Nothobranchius furzeri: one gene and its partners. The protein of the gene in region 3 interacts with the protein of the main gene of each other region in a biochemical or structural test. Links are inferred from orthologs where the notes say so. Each region holds a gene or a part of one and is shown on either strand. Other genes may lie near its edges.

Region 1 (4,210 bases), on a different chromosome or scaffold from region 3:
TTCCCTCTCTTGGATGAGCAAACCAAGCATTTGTCACATGCGTGGATGCGGGGCGCGGATTCTCCGCCGGTCCCTCGGCGATGAAATGATTCACTGGTTTTATCGCGTTTTAACAGGATGTTGATTGAGAGCATGAGCCACATTGATTGTCCTGATGGAAACAGGAAATAACAAAGATAGAAATAAAATCATCTGTTGTTCCCGGTGTGAGGGTACCCGGGGGAGCAGCAGGCAATTGCGCACCGTTGAGTGGCATTACCCCCGGCAACCTCCTCCCCTCCATCCTCTCTCTCCCCTTTGGAGACCTGGAAGAGACGTCATCTGTGGTTGTTATGCTGCGAAATGACGCCGGCGCTCTCCCCACCCCCTGCTACTGCAACATTACCCCTGTGGTCTGTTACGGAAGATGCAGCACTCCTCGTCTGCACCATTTCCAGCATGAAGTTTGACGCCTAACAGTAATCAGCCCTCTGCCGTCACTTCCCTCATGTGGAAGTGGAACCAATTGGTGCAGATAATAATATCAGCCTAAATGCATCCTACACATAAAGCTCGTGACTGGCCTCCGTCCCGTAAACCGACATGGATGTCTGTGCTGGGAAGGATGACTGAAGAACCAACACCTCATCTGAGGGATGAGAGGGATTCACCGAACATCTTCAAGGATCATTTAGATAATGAGCTCTTCATTGGCCTTTGCCCTTATAGTTGTTTTAGTTGGTGAGAGGAAAAATACCCTCCGTCCCTTCTCATAGAAACACACACACACACACACACACACAAGCCCCTCCCCATGCCCTCCCTCTAACACACGCACTCACACACTCTGGAATAGCGCGTCACTGAGCTCAGGGAGTGAGTGGCTCATTAAGAAGAAGGATGTGATATTCTGAATTGAGACTGTGAGACTCCCAGCACGTCTATTTTTAGCTGAGATCTCTCTACGGCGCTCACCGTGGAGTCGGTTAATTGCAGCCCCAGCCCCAGATACCAATTAAGAGTGAAACAAATGCTTTTAAGGTGCGGTTTCGCTCCTCCCTGCTGGAGAAGGTCCTCGTGCCCATCCTTAGTGGAGACAGGAGCGTGTTGGCTCGGCGTTTTTTCCTGAATCAGGTTCGGGACATGCGGATTGCAGTCAAAGCCTCAGCCGGGCTATTTTTAAATAAGCCCCCGTGGAAAGCAAGATCTAGATTTTTTTCTCTAGGGTTGCTTTTATGTCTCTGGCTGTTGGATGTCCACCAGTTCAATGATTTGTGAATCTTAGAGCTCCTCGGAGGTAAGGGATGCAAATGTGCCCAGGCGATGCAACGATGAGGACGTATGTTCAGCCTTTTAGCAACACCTGGCTCCCTGCAGCTTTTCTCTTTAACCCTGGCAGCACTCTGCTCGTTTCCTGAGCTGCCCTCCTCAGCCGTGTGGGCTTGACACGGTGCAGGAAAAGGATGAAGCATCCATTTTTGTCATACAGCTTCCTCGTGACATCCTGTTAATTTATCTGGCTCTGCACTTGCCGGTCACCTGCCAAAAGCAAACAGCTTCTCTTAACAAACAGACCCCCAGGTCTCCATTCATGATCACGAGGTCCAGAGAGAGGACCGGTCCTGCAGCACGGACCAGTTTGTTGGTCATATAACCAACACTGCAGCGCTGCTGTTTACCAGCATCACTGGAAACGCAATATTTACCACTCAGAAGTCACTTTGACAGCTTTCTGAGGGGAATGAACTCTTTGGTTTTCCAGTTCACTGTTGGTCCGTTTTATTGTTATCTGACTTTTTTTGAAAAAAAGGACAAAAATCTAAACTTTCTGTTGGAGCTTCAACATGAAACTGTGATACGAGTGACTACTGCAATAATGGTATCAGTTACAAATCAATCATTTCCTGACTTTTCCCAGTGCCTTCTGTTTTCCCAACCCTCTGCACGTGCTGCAGCACTTTGTCCAACATGGTCTGAATCATCTGTGGGCATGTAGGGAGACCGTGAGATTGACTCTGCGATGACAACGAACTGTCAGCGCAGCCCTGATTCCTGGGGCTTTTAAAACCAGATGCAGCCAGCAACGCAGAGCAGGACGAATGATGGGTTTGGCCATTAAAAAAACTGCACGTGTCTGCACACACTGTCAACACACCAGTTCATGAATAATCGCACGCCTGTGAGGACGTTTCAGCGTCCATGTGTGTAATCTCATCTTTAGGAATAAGCAGTCTCGCTGATGCCCAGCACAGCTTTTGTGTTTTGCTGCCAACAAATAGAAATCTAAGCCAGACCTGACATGGATCACAGTTTGCAAACAATTTGAAAACACTGATGGCGACACGGTGCCAACATCAGTTTGACAAAAACATGCTGTGGTTATTCAGAAGCTCTCGTTTTATTTGGTGTGCAAACAAAGAGCGGTGGGCGTAAAAAGTGAAAAAGGCGAGGAGGAGCGGAGGCTTGCGTGATGCATTGTGGGTTAAGGATGAGCCAACTTGTTTAAAATGCCCGTTGACTAACCGTCTTCTTCTTTCTCTTCCTTCTTTTCTCTCCATCTCCCCCCTCCAGTTCCACCAGGTTAGAAGAGTGATGACCATCCTGTTCCTTACTATGGTTATTTCATACTTCAGTTGCATGAGAGCTGCGCCCCTGAGAGACGCCCCGGGCATTCGGGGCCATCGGACGGAAGGCTACTTGGGCGCTGCTGCGACGACCGCTCGAGGCCACGGGACTCTGCAGAGTGGCGGCGGGCCGGGCCAGCACGGCGAGCTGCCCTCGCTCACAGACACGTTCGAGCAGGTGATCGAGGAGCTGCTGGAGGTGGAGGGAGAGGCCGCACAGCTGGGACAGGGGTCTGACAAGAGCCAGGGAGGCGGGGGCCCGTTGCCCGTGGTCACCACAGAGAACAAGGATGTCGACCTGTACAACTCGCGGGTGATGATCAGCAACCAAGTGCCTTTGGAGCCGCCGTTGCTCTTTCTTCTGGAGGAATACAAAAACTATCTGGATGCTGCAAACATGTCCATGAGGGTGAGGCGACACTCCGACCCCTCACGGCGTGGAGAGCTGAGTGTGTGTGACAGTATTAGCCAGTGGGTGACAGCTGTGGATAAAAAGACGGCAATAGACATGTCCGGGCAGACAGTTACCGTCATGGAAAAGGTCCCTGTCCCCAATGGCCAGCTGAAGCAATACTTTTATGAGACCAAATGCAACCCCATGGGGTACACAAAGGACGGCTGCAGAGGAATAGACAAGCGGCATTATAACTCCCAATGCAGGACAACCCAGTCCTACGTGCGAGCGCTCACCATGGATAGCAAAAAGAAGATTGGCTGGCGGTTTATAAGGATAGACACTTCATGTGTATGCACATTGACCATTAAAAGAGGGAGATAGTGTATAAAATGTATAGATTTTATTGAAGAGTTTAAAAAAGAGAATAAAGAGAAAATATCTATTTGTATATATACATAACAGGGTAAATTATTCCGTCAAATGAAAAATTTTATGGACTGCATGTAAAAAAAGATGAAGTTTCTACAGTAAAGTGATATTACAGTCTATTTATTGAACATATTCATGACCTTGTAAACAATTAAAAAAATCTGATCAGTCATTTGCGCCCAGTTTAAATTACTATGACACATAAATCAAGACATTGTGATTTGTTTACGTTGCCAAGAATTACAAAAAAAAATGAAGGAAAAAAATAAAGGAAACAGGCAAAGGAACGAGAGGACAGTTCCATCTTCAAAGGCTTGCATGCTGCTTCAATTGTGAATTGAGAAATTCTCAACTTCCCCCAAAAAAATAAAGGAAAAAGGAAAATATGCTGACCAAAAAAAAAAGAAGAAAAAACAACAACATTCCGTTTACATATTCAACAGAAGACGTCTCCTCTCGAGTAATTTATCTGTTTACTGTTCTAAACTTCTCAAGGTCATGTTGGAAATACATACTATGTCAAGGTGCTGTTGTCAAAGCTTTGCTGTTTATTTTTTTATCCCCACCAGAGAATAAGATATATTTAAAGAGCTTATATATATATATATATAGTCATTGACATGTTTCTGGGTTAATATTATTCATTTTGTATGTTGTGAAGTTGTTTGCAATATTAAACTGAAATATTTGAAGAAATAAAAATGACTATAGGCAACTGAAAAACCTAAATCCATGTCGATAAAGTTTAATCAACGCATTTTTAGGCCGCCTGACTCCGCTT
Region 2 (3,831 bases), on a different chromosome or scaffold from region 3:
TTTCGGGGTACCAGAGTCTCCCGCCTCCTTCCTCAACTTTCTGTTCAAGGTGCGAGAGTCAGGCTGTCTGAACTCAGAGCATGGACCTGTGGTGGTCCACTGCAGCGCTGGTATCGGACGCTCTGGGACCTTCTGCCTTGTGGACACTTGCCTCTTGTTGGTTTGTATAATTTGTATAAACTCCAGCATGCAGTGAGACAATCACAAACAAAGCAGTCGCCTATCTGAGGAGAATCACTCTGACTGCTGTCTTTGTGTTCAGATGTCTCTTCGTAAGGACCCGTCATCGGTGCGTATTCGCGATGTGCTGCTGAAGATGCGGCAGTATCGAATGGGTTTGATCCAAACTGCGGATCAGCTTCGCTTCTCTTACCTGGCTGTCATCGAAGGTGCCAAGTACATCAAAGGAGATAAATCTCTCCAGGCAGGTTCTTCCTCTCCTCTTCGGAGCTTTTTATGACTGTGCATTCTGCTGAAGTCCTTTTAGTAAACAAGCTTTCTGCTTCTGAAGGAATCGTGGAAAGAGCTCTCTAACGAGGAAGATGATCCTCCGGAGTCCCCTCCCCCTCCCCCTCCTCCTCCGAGAGACCCTCACAATGGCAAAGTGCAGCCACCTTTTTTCCCTGATAAAGAAGAGGTCATCCTGAGGTGAGCATCCCAATCATCTGCGGGCTTATCTGAGCATTGGGGTGGGGGTGGTTCCTAATAGAGCTGCTCCGTGCTTCGATTGATAGTCAGCATCACAACGTAGGTATGTGATGTGATGGGGGGGCCTTCATCTGTTGGATCAGGTGAGATGTTGATCAAACGTTTGAAGCTACTATGAGGATGAAACGCATCAGGGGTCTATTATGTTGGACTGTAGACGTGACACTTGTTGTGGACTAACTAATATATTGGAGTCATTAATTTGACTCTTGGGGACGTAAAATCTTTTTATTCAAGATGGCTGTGTTCCGTCTGTGATGGGACGCTTCAGACGTTGAGCTGGACATTATTTAGCATTTCAAATCAAATCACTTTTATTGTCACGTCACACGTGCAGGTACACTGGTACAGTACATGCGAGTGAAATTCTTGTGTGCGAGTTTCACAGCAACAGTTGCAAAATACACATATTCTGTGTTATATAGCTAAAAGCGTTTATTGTGTCTACAGTTCTGATGGTATCATGCTGACAAAACAAACTCCGATTTGACAAGGAAGGATGTAATTTACCTCCCGTGGAACGTAAAAGGCTGACTGGTTATTCATCCAAAAAAGGGCAGGAGTGCAGCACGACTGAAAGTGCTATTTAAGTGATCTGTTGAAGGTTTCACTACTTTTCATTATCGCAAGAGTTGGAAAAGAATCACAATGTGATATTTTTTATTTATTTATTTTTGCCTATATGGTTCAACGCAAGCCTCTCCTCTCCTCTCCGGTTAGAAAAGAACATTTTTCCCACCATACTGAAACAGAAACGTGACTTTTAGCACAACATTTTTCTAAAAAAAAAAGTGTATTTATATAGCGCCAAATCACAACAACAATCGTCTCAAGGCACTTCACAAGGTAAAATTGGGTTCAGTTCATAATGGCAATTAGGCTTGGGTGTTATCCAAATTTCAATATCGTTAAGCTTCCTCTACGTGTTACCACAGTGTACGGTATTTCCATGAGTAATTAAAAATTATGACCTAAAACTCAAGTGGCATTAACAAAGTGTTGGCTTGGACTGTAACAGTTCAGAAACTGAATCTCAACACTATTGCCACCAAAAAAAACAAACATATTAAGCATAATGTTAACATTTTAATTAAAAAAATGCTGCTCATTATAATATTTTTCGCCAGAAAAACCTGCACGTTTACTTTTCCAGATTCAACATTGCACCTTCTGTACCAACAACTTTGCCTGGGGTGCTGAAAACCTGCTCCGATGGTGCGCTTGTGGCACAGACACAGGCTTTTGGGCCAGTCACAACTTCTGGGGAAGAAACTAGCAGCATATTTCTACCAGAAAAGTGAATAATAGGCTCCAAACCGGCTGTTATTTTAGCTCTCTAGAGTTCATCTGCGGTGCTGACGGGACCTGCATCTCTTGCTGTCACCTCTTTATTGCACGAGGAACACTCTTTGACAGGGAAACGTGGATTGACGGAACACCGGCTCTCCTTTATCGTTTGCTTGGAATCCAAAATACTTCCAACAGCAGAAGTTGTGTTTATTTTTGACACCGAGTCAGTAGGTGCACGACCTGCCATCTCTCTCCCTGTCTCTCTTAAGGTGCGTCTCTCTCTCTCTCCTCCGCGCTGTCACATGATGACGTCATGTTCATAAACTTTACGGAATGTCTCCAAAAGTCGACTATAACATATTAAACAATTTAACTAAAAATGAAAATTCAACAACACGTCAGTTTTACACATCAAATATTTTTTTTATATTTAGTCCTTATCTCCTAAATGCACTACATTTTGTTCATGACGTATTAACACTGATAGTGTTGCTCTTTTTAAACACCAGCTGTATACAGTAATACCATAGTACCACCAAAGTCTAATGCCGTTTAAAGTTTCCTATATAAGGGAACCCAGCGGATTGCATCGTCACTGACTTTACAACAATCCTCATGCTAAGCAAGCATGTAGCGACGGTGGAGAGGAAAACTCCCTGTAACAGGAAGAAACCTCAACAGAACCTGGCTCAGGATGAGCAGCCATCCACCGCAACTCACTAGCTTACACATCCATATCAATGTTTGCTTTAAACTTTATTCTTTGTGTAAAACGACTTGATGGATGCATCCATTAAACTCCAAACCTAACTGGGAGACATCCATCTGTCTTTTTCCTCATTCAGGGAAGACCTGCGACAGAGGATCTTAACCGCTGCAAGGCCTCCTTCTGATAGGGCTGGTCAGCCGGACCGGCATGTGGGAATACCTCATTCCACAGCTCCCAACACATCCCAGCAGGAGGAGGATGAGCCGAAGGCAGCGGAGCAGCCAAAGGAAAGCTCTCCTGTGCCGGGGACCTGGTCCCCTTTCCTAGTCAACGTGTGTCTCTGCACAGCGGTGACCCTCAGTGCTTACATTTTTTATCGAGCCTATTTCCACTGATGTCTCTTTCCTCTTCCTGATTGTTTTTGTTCTGTGTCACAAAGTGGACTTGGCTGCCTCACCAGCCTGCTCTGACTCTGTCAGTGAGCTTTTGTTCTATTCAGGTTGACCTGTTGTTATTTTTATAGCTGCAGCAGGAGGAGCTGCCACTAATTACCCAAACGTCGTTTCTGTACGCCATCACAGACGCTCAGGACCTCAGTTCTTCAGGTGCCACAACCCAAACGTGCGTGTGTGTCTATGTGTGTGTCTGTCAAGTACATCAGACTGCGGCTGTTGGGAGGGGTTGTCTCCAAGCTGCTGGTCTGGGAACCAGGATGAGAACCCTGTCTGCCCGTTTTATATGCATCTTATTTACCAAAATGACAATTTTGAATGTGACTTTCTGTTTTCTTTTTCATTAAGATTTAACTTTTTGTTTTATTTTTTAGCCCACTTGCTAACACAGATGGGTCTGAAATGTTCAGTCCTGATTTTTGACAAGCCAGTCAGAAAACACGCCAGTAGGGGGGGGGGGGGTTAAAGCGGAGTGTGTATAGAAATAAAAAAGTGAATTCATGCTCACTGATTGCATGCAGATGTGGGCTTGGAACTGTGATCTGTCCACACTAGTCGCCTCTGATTGGCCGGTTGAGTGTGTCTTCTGTGTATCTGTACATTTGTGTATCTGTGCGCGCGCCTGTTCAACCTGCTCCATGTCTCGTTAACAGGAAGTAAAATGTGAGATGT
Region 3 (3,651 bases):
TCTTAGGACACTTACTTAGTTTTGATGATTAAAGCATAACATTCAAGCAACAGCTTCCCCAACTTGTGTTACCATTAAAGACACAAACATTCGTCTGGGTCTATGATGACTAAATTCAGCATCTTTTAGAGGTTCAGGATAAATTGACTTGACAGATTGCCTTTTTTTTTCTCTCAGATTGAGACATCAGGTCAGATTTCAGTGCTGCGTCTGTCCAACCTGTCATCACTGGATCACAACCGCAAGATCAGCTGCACAGCTGGAAACATCGTTGGAGAGAGGGAGTCCTCTCTGCTGCTGGACATACTTTGTATGTTTTTACTCTGTTAAACAGCTTTAACTTAAAGTAGTTTAATGTGTCCGTTATATTTTTCCCACCACTTAAACATTTTTACAAGCTGCAATAATTCCACTTTTGGTCTGATCATGTTTTTTCTGCTTTAATTAAACACATTTTTTCCTAAAAACCTACTTTTTGCTTCATGCATTCAGTTCCACCAAAAATCACAAAACTGAGTGATGCAATCCCCGACCATCACTGGTGCATCCCCTTCAGCGTGGCAGGTATGAAAGGCACACTTTCTCATTTGTTGATGTTTTAATATTCATTCACATATGATTTAGTTGGTAAAATGTGAAAAATTTAAAATAATTGAATGCAATGAATGCACAGAGTGACAACTGCTGCTGAGATATAATGCAAATCAAGTTAACATCACTGGCCAGATTCACTAACAAAGCACAGCACTCATTACTTTTTGCACAATTTGCACCCAAAATGTACCTTTTCGTAGCATCAGAATCACGGAGCAAGCAGTAATTAGTTCCAAGTTTAAATGAACGAAGAACAAAGGCAGATTAAAATCATGACATTTTCCAGAGTCCAATCATCTTTATTTCTAGAGCAGTTAAAAAAACGTTCACAGAATGACCATGCACATTGTACATTGATGAAATCTCTGTAAAACTTCTATAGAGCTTTAAAACTAACTAGTTTATCAATTGCAAAGAAGTATTTAAGACAATTAAACAAACACGCTGTAAAACTTTTTAATACAAAAGAATAAAAGATCTGTCTAAGAACTAGGGATGCACCGATACCGATACTGGTATCGGTATCTGTGCCGATGCCAATACCAATGCCAGTATCGGTATCGGTAAAAGTTAACCGATACCAGGAACCGATACCAATGCAGTTGCTTGAAAATGGCTTCACTGTAACTTGTCATTTCTGTTCACCTAATATTTTAGTTTTGTGATGATTTCCATTCATATATTTTACTTTTAATCTACCTCACAGTCTTTTCCTGTTGAAAGCAGAGAAGAAAATAAAATCATTGCATTTTTTTGTGTGGTGGAAGTATTGGTATCGGTAATTGGCATCGGCGAGTACTCAGATTCAAGTATCGGTATTGTATCGGTTTGGAAAAAAGAGGTATCGGTGCATCCCTACTAAGAACAATGACAGGTCGGCACACAGTACCTGGGAAAGATAACAAAAAAATATGTTTTCTATCTTTTCATTTATTTACATATTTTTTTAAAGAGCGTGAGTGTTGTGGCTTATCTAACGATATGGAGTTTCATAACTTCTGCCAGTGCTCCAAAGTCCCCCCCACTCCCCCCCCCCCCCCACCCCCACCCCCCGGTCCGACAATCCAGCAGCAACACCTCCCCACCCCCCTGGCCACCCAGGCCTCATCGCCCCCTGTGGCCAGAATATTTCACTCGCAGCTTCCGGCTGGCAGGCTATTCAGTTGGGACAGAAAAAAAATTGAGCTGACATACCTGGAGCTGCAGTCTGCTTCCAGCATGTTTTAAATCATGAACACAGCTGACTTGTTTAATTTAGTGATGACTCATCCCTCACTAAGGAAAGCTGGGGAGACATTTCAGCTGTTAGATAAAGGTGTTAAAAGACGAACGCACATCGATGTGATAGGTTTAGGTTTTTTTGTTCTTCAAACAGACACTAGGGGGTGCTAAAAGCAAGCCAACACTGCCTATTTCCCCTTTAAAAGTATGCTCAACATCTAATTTCAATGTGATGAAACTGCACCAGTGCCGAGATGGAAATACAAATTAGGCATTCATTTATTCTTTCACATTGTTTCCCAGCAAACCCCCAACCGTACTTTCAGTGGTATCGAGATGATGAAAAGGTAACGGAGGGTGACTACATCATGACCATGATCCACGACGTCACAGAGAGAGAATACCACGGCTGTCTGCAGCTGGACAGCCCAACACACATCAACAACGGACAGTACACGCTGGTGGTTACAAACGAATATGGGTCAGACCAAAAGATGGTTTCAGCTCACTTCATGCTGCAGCCCTGGGGAGGTGAGGATTTGGGATATTCCATTCTCTGTTGTCACAATAACGTGACTGAGCTCCTGTCATTTACGCAAATGCAGCTGCCTTCTGAAGAGAAAATGCTTCAACTCAGAGCAGAAAGTTAATCTGTTAGAAAACTAGCTACTGCTCCTGCAGAATGATGGACACCGGAAAGTAATCGGATTTGTTCCCTTTTTGTAGATACTGACACTCCTATCTATTATGGTGAGTGAAATGTTTTCTTTTTATCAAATGTTAAACAGCTAAAGGCTCACATTTCCCACAGTACCACAGTGTCAGTTTTTATGTTGAACAGGAATTGATCAGCATCACGTTTTAGAAATGTTTTTTTTCTCTCTCTTTTTTCTCTGGAGGTGGTGATGGTGCGTTCCAGTCCTACACAACTTTGCAACTTTTTGTTTCATTTGTTTATTGCAATACGTTTCCAATGTTGTGATTTTCTTTCAGCTCTTGTGCATGTTGTGTTCTTAGTTGGTTTGTGTGACACCATCTTGTAATGTTTTTGGTGTGTGTGTGTGTGTTTTAAACTAGCTCAGAGAACAGGCATGGTTTACGGGGTAAATGTCAAGTAGCGCATGTAAAACGTTTACAAATGAAAGAGGTTATCATGTTTGTTTTTGAAATCTAATTTGTCTTTCTGTCTCTTTCTCCAACGCGTCTTCCAACAGAAATACCAACAGGTACAGCTAAATATTTTATTCACTCAGTCCTAAAACCAGCCTGACTTAATTGACTAATCACCACCGATTTAGTTAACTTTTGCTACATTTCCCAACGTGAAATAAAAGTATAGTGGAACAAAAATATGTTTAAGCAAATATCACATGAGAGGGCGTGCATTGTTGCTGAATATCAGCACTGGTGTGATTCAGTCGTAGGCATGAGGCCGCAGGCTGTGTGCCGTAGATAAACAGCAACAACGCATGACCTCGAGTGTGATATTGCTTTTATACTACAGTTCTACCTGCTCATTTTATTTTTATAAAAACAATAAGCAACAACAGATTATGTTTTGTTCATTTATTTAACCATTTATCAGGGTCCACCAACACAAATAGTTCCAACACGAAACAGAGACTCAGACAAGGCTGTTGCTAGGCAACACAAACATTTTCTACAAAGCTCTGTAATAACGGTTAGAACTCCTGTGCACAGTGGAGTGATACTGTTTGTAAACAGTCCCAGTGCTGTTATAGTCCAATATCAGCACTCTTGGAAAGTCTCTTGACCAATCAAATCAATCGGTCGGAACTAACTGTGGATGACTAGGAGTGTGTATTGGCGATACAT

Evidence for each region. The genes of interacting proteins can lie anywhere in the genome.
Region 1: the proteins of ntrk2a (region 3) and bdnf form a complex in vitro, tested with the Homo sapiens proteins (3 studies listed by BioGRID). The link is inferred for Nothobranchius furzeri from reciprocal best matches to the Homo sapiens genes NTRK2 and BDNF.
Region 2: the proteins of ntrk2a (region 3) and ptpn1 form a complex in vitro, tested with the Homo sapiens proteins (2 studies listed by BioGRID, with this or other methods). The link is inferred for Nothobranchius furzeri from reciprocal best matches to the Homo sapiens genes NTRK2 and PTPN1.

What each region holds. Positions count from the first base shown.
Region 1 is NC_091749.1:64,456,903-64,461,112, forward strand, and holds the end of bdnf (brain-derived neurotrophic factor), read left to right. Parts: intron 1-2,550; coding exon 2,551-3,381; 3' UTR 3,382-3,601; downstream 3,602-4,210. UniProt on the Homo sapiens protein: Important signaling molecule that activates signaling cascades downstream of NTRK2. During development, promotes the survival and differentiation of selected neuronal populations of the peripheral and central nervous systems.
Region 2 is NC_091755.1:52,053,206-52,057,036, forward strand, and holds the end of ptpn1 (tyrosine-protein phosphatase non-receptor type 1), read left to right. Parts: coding exon 1-160; intron 161-262; coding exon 263-424; intron 425-511; coding exon 512-648; intron 649-2,843; coding exon 2,844-3,102; 3' UTR 3,103-3,222; downstream 3,223-3,831. UniProt on the Homo sapiens protein: Tyrosine-protein phosphatase which acts as a regulator of endoplasmic reticulum unfolded protein response. Mediates dephosphorylation of EIF2AK3/PERK; inactivating the protein kinase activity of EIF2AK3/PERK.
Region 3 is NC_091757.1:48,543,190-48,546,840, reverse strand, and holds part of ntrk2a (BDNF/NT-3 growth factors receptor), read left to right. Parts: intron 1-177; coding exon 178-310; intron 311-492; coding exon 493-564; intron 565-2,118; coding exon 2,119-2,346; intron 2,347-2,541; coding exon 2,542-2,565; intron 2,566-3,029; coding exon 3,030-3,041; intron 3,042-3,651. UniProt on the Homo sapiens protein: Receptor tyrosine kinase involved in the development and the maturation of the central and the peripheral nervous systems through regulation of neuron survival, proliferation, migration, differentiation, and synapse formation and plasticity.